Callithrix jacchus: one gene and its partner. The protein of the gene in region 1 interacts with the protein of each later gene in a biochemical or structural test. Links are inferred from orthologs where the notes say so. Each region holds a gene or a part of one and is shown on either strand. Other genes may lie near its edges. The genes, in order: PSRC1 and ASB7.

Region 1 (4,479 bases):
ACCTGCTATCTCACTGTTACCAGAAAGGGGTCAGGATCCAGACCCCAAGAGAGGGTTATTGGCCCTTGCACAAGAAATAATTCAGGGCAAGTCCATAAAGTGAAAGCAAGTTTATTAAGAAAGAAAACAGTATCTACTCCCTAGGCAGAGTAGCCCCGAGGGCTGCTGGTTGCCCATTTTTATGGTTGTTTCTTGATTATCTGCTAAATAAGGGATGGTTTATTCATGCCTTCTCTTTGTAGACTTTATAGGGTAATATCGACGTTGTGATGCCATTTGTAAACTGTAATGGCGCCAGTGGGTGTGCAGCAGTGAGAATGACTAGAGGTCACTCTCATCGCCATCGCCATCTTGGTTTTGGTGGGTTTTAGTCAGCTTCTTTACTGCAACCCGTTTCATCAGCAGAGACTTTGTGACCTGTATCTTGTGCCAACCTCCTATCTTATCCTGTGACTGAGAATGCCTAACCTCCTGGGAATGCAGCCCAGTAGGTCTCAGCCTTATTTTACCCAGCCCCTATTCAAGATGGAGTCGCTCTGGTTCGAAGTCTCTGACAAGTTCACTGGTGGCACAGGCCCCTTTTAGCAACAACAGAGACAACACTCCTAACAAGCTGGCTTAAGCATTTTACAAACACAGCTTTTATTTCAGAGGGGGCTACTTACAAACGCCCCCTCTAAATTCCTTAAGGGCACACAGTAGAAAACATCTTCATGATTATCCTAACATCCATCTTAACTGCGAGGATCACCATCCTCTTTTCACGAAAAGAGGGCAGATATATACTCAAGGCAGACTCTCTAAAGCGAAACTGGGGTTTTGAGGTCAGTTAAACTTGGGTTGAATTTGAACCCAAGCCTGTCTGGGTGAAAAGCCCGTTGCTTTCTTTACACCTCGGCTGCGTCAGGTTCTTAAAGAGGCGATGGAGGATGTACTTCTTAGAGAACCCCAATATGTCTACAATGTAAGTGTTCAGGTGCTTCCTTAACTTGGAAAAAACCACAACTGACGACCCCGGGCCAACGCGGCGCCTGCATATTGAGTGCGCCCAAGAAAACTAATTTCCTCCCGCCGAGCGTCGGTTTAAGCAGCACAATCGCTCTGGAGACTGGAGGCTCCGTGGCCCAGCAGCAAGAGGAGGGCGGGGCGCGAGGGCCACACTCGTGGGTCCGTTATTCCCCTCCCGGCCAGCCGCGCCCGGCTCCCACCTGCCAGCGGGAAAGAGGGTCTCCAGGTACGCCAGCACGCGCACTCCGGGCCTCAACCCTAGGCTCCGCCTCAGCCTCCGGGATTGGAGTCTTCTGGGAACGGTTCTCCTCCGGCCCCCACCCGCGGACTTCCTGCCGGCAGCTCCACAGCCCCGCCCCCTGAAGATCCACCAATCACGGTGCGTGTATGGCTTGAGTGGGTGGGGCCTGAGAGATTCGAAAGGAGCCCCGCCCCCTCGGAGCAGATTCCCGGGACTAGGTTGCTGGGGGAAGACTCTTGCGTGGAAGACAAGGCGGCGCGGGAAGTGGAAACAGGGTGTGCTGGAGGTGTGCTTTGCGTGTGGTGTCAGGGAAGTGGAAACGTGGCTTGGGGGGTGAAGAACCCTGAGGATAGTGGCGGGGAGGAAGATGGGGCGTTCAGAACCTCCCAGTGAGGAGAGAACAGGGTGAGGGGCGGCTCCAGGGCAATCTGGGCGGTGGGGGGAGCCCTCCGCACTTTACCCGGAGATAGCAGGGGTAGTTACGCGGCAGGTGCCACTCCTGGGTGCTTGCTTTGCCTCCAGCATGACCTGTGCCGCTGGCGTGAATATAGCTGCAATCCCTGGGCAGGATGGATACCTCAGGAAAGGTATGGTTTCTCTCCAGCTCAGGTCTAAGTGGACTTTCGCTCCTGCTGGCTGAACATGGAGGATTTGGAGGAAGGTAAGGAAAGGAGGGAGGGAGGAGTGAGACCCAGTAATGGAGAGCTGCATCAGGGACCCATGACTGGCCTTCATTCTTCTTTCCCCTTCAGATGTAAAATTTATTGTGGATGAGACCTTGGACTTTGGGGGGCTGTCACCATCCGACAGGTACCAGCCTCTTTGTGCCACTTACTTTCCTCTAACAGCACTTCTTTGTCTCTGTCCCTTTACTGCTGAGTTACTGGCCTCTGGAACTTGGGTTGGCAATTTAGCAAGGTTTCGTGCACTCGGGGCCGCTGGGTGGCTGGTTGACTCGGGCCTCTATGACACTATTGGTAGTGGGGAGAGAAGCGAGAAGCTGGAGTTAGATTTCAGGGTGTTAAGAAGGGTAAGTGGATTTGCTGCATCTCCATCCTGGCATCATTTCTGGTGTCAGTAAATGCGAAAGGCCTATTAGGCCCCATAGAACCAGGTATCTCATCACCCAGAGGCCACATCTCACAAGCAGCACGGGCATCAGGGCATGGGGTTGTGTCCCTGGCTCTGTTGTGGGGCTTTTGCCCAGTCTACCTTGCGTAGTCTTCTGCTGTCTTTTGCATGGGCATGATGCCTGGTTCGTTTCCTGTCCCAGCCGTGAGGAGGAAGACGTAACAGTGTTGGTGACTCCAGAGAAACCACTTCGACGGGGCCTCTCGCACCGAAGTGACCCAAATACAGTGGCTTCTGCTCCCCAGGATGTGAGGTTCAGCCTAGGCCCCCTCAGCCCAGAGAAGCTGGAGGAGATCCTCGATGAGGCCAACCGGCTGGCCGCCCAGCTGGAGCGGTGTGCCCTGCAGGAGCGGGAGAGCACGGGCGAGGGCCTGGGGCCTCGCCGAGTGAAGCCCAGTCCTCGGCGGGAGACCTTTGTGCTCAAGGACAGTCCTGTCCGAGACCTGCTGCCCACTGTGAACTCTTTGGCTCGGAGCACCCCCTCCCCAAGCAGCCTGACGCCTCGACTCCGGAGCAGTGATAGGAAGGGGTCAGTCAGGGTTCTTCGGGCAACGCCTGGAAAGAGGCCCTCCAACATGAAGAGGGTGAGTTGAGAGGACCGAGTTGGAGGTGCGCCCCAGACATAGCGCATGCCATGATGCAGGCAGAGAATGGTTTCCTTACTGGTAAAATGGGGATAGTATTTCTTCATCTAGAATTGTTGGAATTAAATGAGAACCATAAACAAAGAGAACAAAAACTCTTATCATAGTTTCTGAGTATAAGCCCTGTAATGTCTATAATAAACTCCATTAATGGTATTGGCAATAGTGATGGTGACGGTGATGTTAGCAAACATCTACCCTTCCTTACTGGGATCTAAACAACGCTCCACCTCTAGTTCTTAATTCCTTAAGCCACAGAACAGATATTTTCTCCACTCTAGTCTTTTTTTCCTCTCTCTTTGTGTTTCAGGAGTCACCCACTTGCAGTCTGTTCCCTGCATCCAAAAGCCCAGCATCTTCTCCTCTTACCCGATCGACGCCCCCAGGCCAAGGGAAAGCTGGGCCCAGTGGGAGAGCAGCAGCTAGTGAGGAGACCTGAGCAGCCAAGTTGCGGGTGGGTGGGAGTGGGGAGTTTGTGGGACTGACTCTGAAATTTCTCTACTCCTCTCCACCAGGTCCACCTACCCCCATCAGACCCGTCCTGGCCCCACAGCCTTCTACCAGTAACTCTCAACGCCTGCCCCGGCCACAGGGAGCAGCTGCTAAATCTTCCAGTCAACTGCCCATTCCCTCGGCCATCCCCAGACCTGCCAGCCGAATGCCACTCACCAGCCGGAGTGTACCACCTGGCAGAGGTGCCCTACCTCCGGATTCTCTGTCAACTCGAAAAGGGCTTCCAAGACCAAGCGCCGCAGGACACAGAGTGAAGGAAAGTGGACACAAGGGTAAGAGATCAGAAGGAGGAATACCTGCCCTTGCCCGGCATGTCCTCACTCTCCCAGAGCTGGCAACAGTGACCACTTTTGCCATCCTCATTGCAATTCAGTTGGAAGATGGGGAGGCTGAGTTACAGAGAGGATATGGGGCTGGACAGAGTCTAAGTCTTAGTTTCCAAATACATCATGGTTGAGGGGAGAGCACTAATCCCACACTCACTCCCTTCATCCAGTATTCCTTTTTGAGGTCAATTAAACTTGCTGCTAACTTATTTCCTTTGTTAACTCCCATGAAGTTCCTGTTTCCCAGCGACTAAATCTTCCTGTCATGGGTGCCACTCGCAGCAATGTGCAGCCCCCCAGGAAAGTGGCAGTCCCAGGACTTACCAGGTCAGTCTGGTCCTCCCTTGTCCGTCCTGTCTCCCTACCCCGCCATCATCTGGGATCCTAAACTGTTATACACATTAGCCCTAAATTTTGCATGGAAAGATTGAGAGAGGAGGGAAGCTGGGGGCAGGGAAAGCGGGGGGGGTCCCATTTCTTCCCACCCTGAGGAGCTTGAACTCTGCTGGGTGACAAATGGGCTCGAGGAAGGACGGCATTTTAAAGCAGTTCTTCCTTCTGTCTCTTTAGGTAAAGAGGTCAGGACAGCAAGCAAGACTTCAGTAGTAAACCACTA
Region 2 (4,302 bases), on another chromosome or scaffold:
TTAGTCCATTTTCTGTTGCTTATGAAATAATTCCTAAAACTTGGTAATTTATAAAGAAAAATAATTTATCGTCTACAGTATTGGAGGCTGGGAACTCTCAAGACTGACAGACCACACCTGGTGTCAGGAGGCAGCACTGCAAAGTATCGTGTGATCAGAGGCTGAGCAGGCTCATTATCAGGTCTCTCCTCATAAAGCCACCAGTTCTACCTCCATGATAATCCATTAATAGATGAATCCCCTCATGAAGACAGAACCCTCATGATCCAACCACCTCTTAAAGACTCTACCCCTCAGTACTGCCACACTGGGGATTACACGTGAGTTCGGAGGGAACAGATATTCACACCATAGCACTACCTATCTAATATGCTATAGCCCATCACGTCCTGGTCAAAATCGATCCCACCATTCTGCTTGATTTTCCTCATATAACCCATCCCTATCTCATAATTTTGTGTTTGTCTCCCCGGAAATCACGATCTTGTTCATTGTTGTCTCCTCAAGGAGTAGAACACGGGCCAGGAAAACACTTGCGAGATGAATAAATGCGCTTAATAAACGTGTCATGATCAGTCTATCTCGCATTTTCCCCACGCCCCCTCTCCATTCATTTTCAGGAACCCGCCAACGTTGCTATCCCTTCAGGGAAGCCCTTGGACCGGCGTCGCCATCCCAAAGAGAGTCCCTTCTCCCACTCTAGGCGAGGGATTCCCAGCCTGGAAGCTAACGGGGTCTCAGGGACAGACAGACGCGCCAAGGACCGGGCACTTGCGTCTGACAAGCGCTGAGCGGGAGCAGAGAAAGAGGCACCCCTCTCTTCGCTTCTTTGAGCCTGCCGCCCTCCCAACCTTAAGCCCTGGACCAGGCCCTCATTTGGCTGCACTCACGCCTCCCCGGCCGCCGAGCTCAGCGGCTGCTCCGGGTTACCTGCCTGGGATCTGGCTCAGACAAACTCTCTTCACACCGCCATTCGAGAGAACACACCAGCCCTCTCTGGGCCACCGTAGTTCACAGAAAGTACACGCTGATCCCTCCTCCCGCATGCGCAGAGACCGCGTTCGGCGTACAGTGTCTCTTAGCAACCGTTTTGAGTCCCTCGTCAGGGGCGGAGCCTCGGAAGCCACCACAGGGAGGCCGTGGGGGTAAGTGAATGGACCAATCGGAGACGAGCCTCAGTCCCGGTCGGCACGTCTCCCTTAACTGTCGCGAATGCAGGGGCAGCTTTACGGCAGGCAGAAGGTGGGGGCTGCTGGGGGTAAGGAGGAGAGAGGGAAGCAACCAACCAACTAAGTCGCCCCCACTCCCCCCACCCCCACCCACCCCGGACCTGGTTTACGGCTCCAGGCTCAGGATCCACTGCGGCCGCTGATTGGTTGCTGAAGGCTTGGTCCCATCCCAGTGACCCCAAAGTGCTGGAGGGAGGGGGCGGGGGTGGCCCAGTGCAAAGTGCATCCCGAAAGCCCCCTGTCCGGAGACCCCACGGCTGGCACTTCGGACCTCGTATGACCTAGGACCTTGCTGTCCCGAGACCTCCTGGGTCCTTCCGTAGCTGGAAGCCTCCGGCCCGGAGCGCGGCAGCCCTTAGTTCCGAGCCCTGGACCGGGACTGCCCCCCCCACCGGAGCCGGGACTTCCTCCCTGCCTCCCTACACCCCTGCCCCGAGGCTGCCCGGAGGCCGGGACCGCCACCTCCTGCCTGCTCGGCTGTTTGGATGCTCGCCGGGCTGGGGCCGTGAAGCACCGAGGAGGATCTGGAACACCAGGGTCCGGCCCTGCCTTGGGTATTTCTTCAATGGAGAAGTTGGTGAGTGTGGAGGAGGCTAAAAGGAGGAAGAGAAGCAGCAGCTGAGGAGACAGGTAAAGTCAGATACCTCCCCCAAGGGGAAGAGAGCTGGCTGGGAGGGAAGAAAATATCTGCTTTTTCTTGCCTGCCCTTGCCACTCTCCAGTCGCTTTCCTGAGCTCCCCCTTCTTCAGAGCCCCCTCCTCACCCCTGAGACACTGCACCACTTACTGGTTTCTGTTTTTCTAGGTTTGAGCTGGCTGAAGAAGACGCGAAAGCAGGAAGGGGTCTACCCACTTACCAGGGAAGCAGAAGGGACATTGCCTCTGATCAGCATCGTCTATATAGGTAATGAGCCAGCCTTCCCCTCCCCCATTGTTTATTCCTGGCCCCTACCTCATTAGGCAGTGCTTTATTTTCAGGGTGGTTGCCTGGGAATGCAACCTTTCCTAACCCAACCCCTCCCTCAGTTTCCCAGGAAAAGCAAAAACATTACTCGTGCCTGATCTTTAACATTTTATAACTAATCTGCCCCAGGAACGTATTTTCCCACTTTCTCTCTGTGCAGTGTTTCGGTGTTTTGCGTTGTCTTTTGGTACACTGTGCCATTTACTTTGCTCTGAGACTTTGAGACCTTTTTATAGCTACCCCCCTTCCTTACTCTCATAGGAATTCCTCAATTCTTTGTTAATTGCTTGTTAATTCTGAATGACTCTCCCTTTTAATTAAACCATAATTTACTGTTTCCCCCCCTTACTTTTTCCTATCACCTTTCTTCTACCTGCATCAGAAAAATCTTTTGAGTTAGGGAGTTGACAATGATTTGGTAGAGGAAGGTAAATTAATGGCTTGAGATTTATGAGTGTCAGAAAATTGATTTTATTTCCTGCTAAAAAGCGAACCTGTGTGCCTTAAGAGTGTGAATGGTATAAAGGCAACCTTATTACCCTGAAGCATTTAAGTGTAATTAACTCTTTTGGCTTTTTGTGTTTTTGTGTGTCACAAAGTGGCTGGGCTTTGAAACTTGTAAGTTACACCTCAGATTTTCTAGAAGAACTTTAAAAAGTTTACACAATATCTTATTGATCGTCTGACTCTCACGGATTTAAAAACAAAGGAACCTTTTGGTGTGTTTACATATCTGGCTCTTAATTTTAGCATTCTATAAGAAAAGATTTCTCATTTCAAAACCCTTACATAGAGTTTGCTAGGTTGAAGTTTAAGCATCTAATTCATGTGATCACATTTCTGCTGCCATATTTTGTTGCTGCTTCTGAAAATGCACTGAAGGTAAGCTTAGGACATTAGTGTAATTCCTAAAGAGGGAATATAAGCGTGGAAATTATACAAAGTTTAACTCCAAAATTAGCCAAATGAATGACTTTTCTAACATCCAGTAGCAAAAGTATAAAGTGATGTGTTAATCTATTTTAATATCCCAGATTGTTTAGGGAATTTTTGTTACAGGGAAGTACTTAAAATAGCAGAAATGAATATTTTTGTTTTCCTATGTTCCTCTGGACTTTCTGCCCTCCACAAAAAGAAATTAGTATCTTTACTGATTTTGTTAATTCTCAAGACATAGCTAAAGATGCTTTTAAGGGGATCTGAGGTATACGTATTCTTGAGACAGGGAACTGGATGCCAAAAGAAGAGATTCTACAGAACAGGATTTAGAATCAATATGTACCAGTTACCGTTCCCTGGTGAAAACTTAGGGCAGCCTTTGTATGTGTATGTAGGGAATCGGGAGTACTTGACTACATCATTTCAGTAAAAGCTAGGCAGAAACCTTTAAAGGCTAATTTTATTATGTAAGTATGGAAGTTGCCAGGGAGATGGCCTAATGATTACTTCAGAACTTCTAAAAAATGCTAAAATATTTGAAGTATGTTTTAAAGATAAAAAATCAAGTACTGTGTTTTGTATTCAAGCCTCTCAGTTAAATATTTTTTTCTGCTTTAGATTTAACTCTAGGATGGTTTCATTTTTAAGGGGTGGTTTCACCTGAGATGGTAAGGGAGGGAGTCTGTGGCTAGTCCAGCATATAAGGTAAGAGAGGATGAGGCTTTACCCTGGCTCTCAGCCAGTTCATTCTCGTTGCTTAAATGGTATTTCGTGGATCATCTCATCTTTTAATGGTTTTTCTAAAATGAGAGAATATATATAAATCATCAGCATCTGTAATGTTTCTAATATTAGAATGATTGAGAGTGTTTGTTCTAGATTATGCCAGACATTTACAATATTGAATTTGGGTATTTACCAACACGACTAGTTAGGTAGCTTACATTTTTTAATCTGGCAGTTAGCTTTTGTTGATTCTGTTGCCAATTATGTGGTTTAAAAAGAAAATCCAATTTATTTGGTCACCAAATACAGATTTATAATCACGTAGGGAGAATAATTGATTTTAATTGAAGATATTCAATGATGCATCTTTAGTATACCGAGGCCAGTACTTATATTCTTTATACATAAAGTGATGTCATTTACAATTATTTAATACTGTGACACA

The links.
Region 2: of the proteins of PSRC1 (region 1) and ASB7, one has a biochemical effect on the other in vitro, tested with the Homo sapiens proteins (2 studies listed by BioGRID, with this or other methods). The link is inferred for Callithrix jacchus from reciprocal best matches to the Homo sapiens genes PSRC1 and ASB7.

The regions. Positions count from the first base shown.
Region 1 is NC_133508.1:147,161,447-147,165,925, reverse strand, and holds the start of PSRC1 (proline/serine-rich coiled-coil protein 1), read left to right. Parts: upstream 1-1,480; 5' UTR 1,481-1,891; coding exon 1,892-1,910; intron 1,911-2,001; coding exon 2,002-2,059; intron 2,060-2,522; coding exon 2,523-2,964; intron 2,965-3,334; coding exon 3,335-3,449; intron 3,450-3,539; coding exon 3,540-3,809; intron 3,810-4,096; coding exon 4,097-4,190; intron 4,191-4,433; coding exon 4,434-4,437; 3' UTR 4,438-4,479. UniProt on the Homo sapiens protein: Required for normal progression through mitosis. Required for normal congress of chromosomes at the metaphase plate, and for normal rate of chromosomal segregation during anaphase. Plays a role in the regulation of mitotic spindle dynamics.
Region 2 is NC_133507.1:9,369,433-9,373,734, reverse strand, and holds the start of ASB7 (ankyrin repeat and SOCS box protein 7), read left to right. Parts: upstream 1-1,417; 5' UTR 1,418-1,859; intron 1,860-2,033; 5' UTR 2,034-2,132; intron 2,133-4,302. UniProt on the Homo sapiens protein: Probable substrate-recognition component of a SCF-like ECS (Elongin-Cullin-SOCS-box protein) E3 ubiquitin-protein ligase complex which mediates the ubiquitination and subsequent proteasomal degradation of target proteins.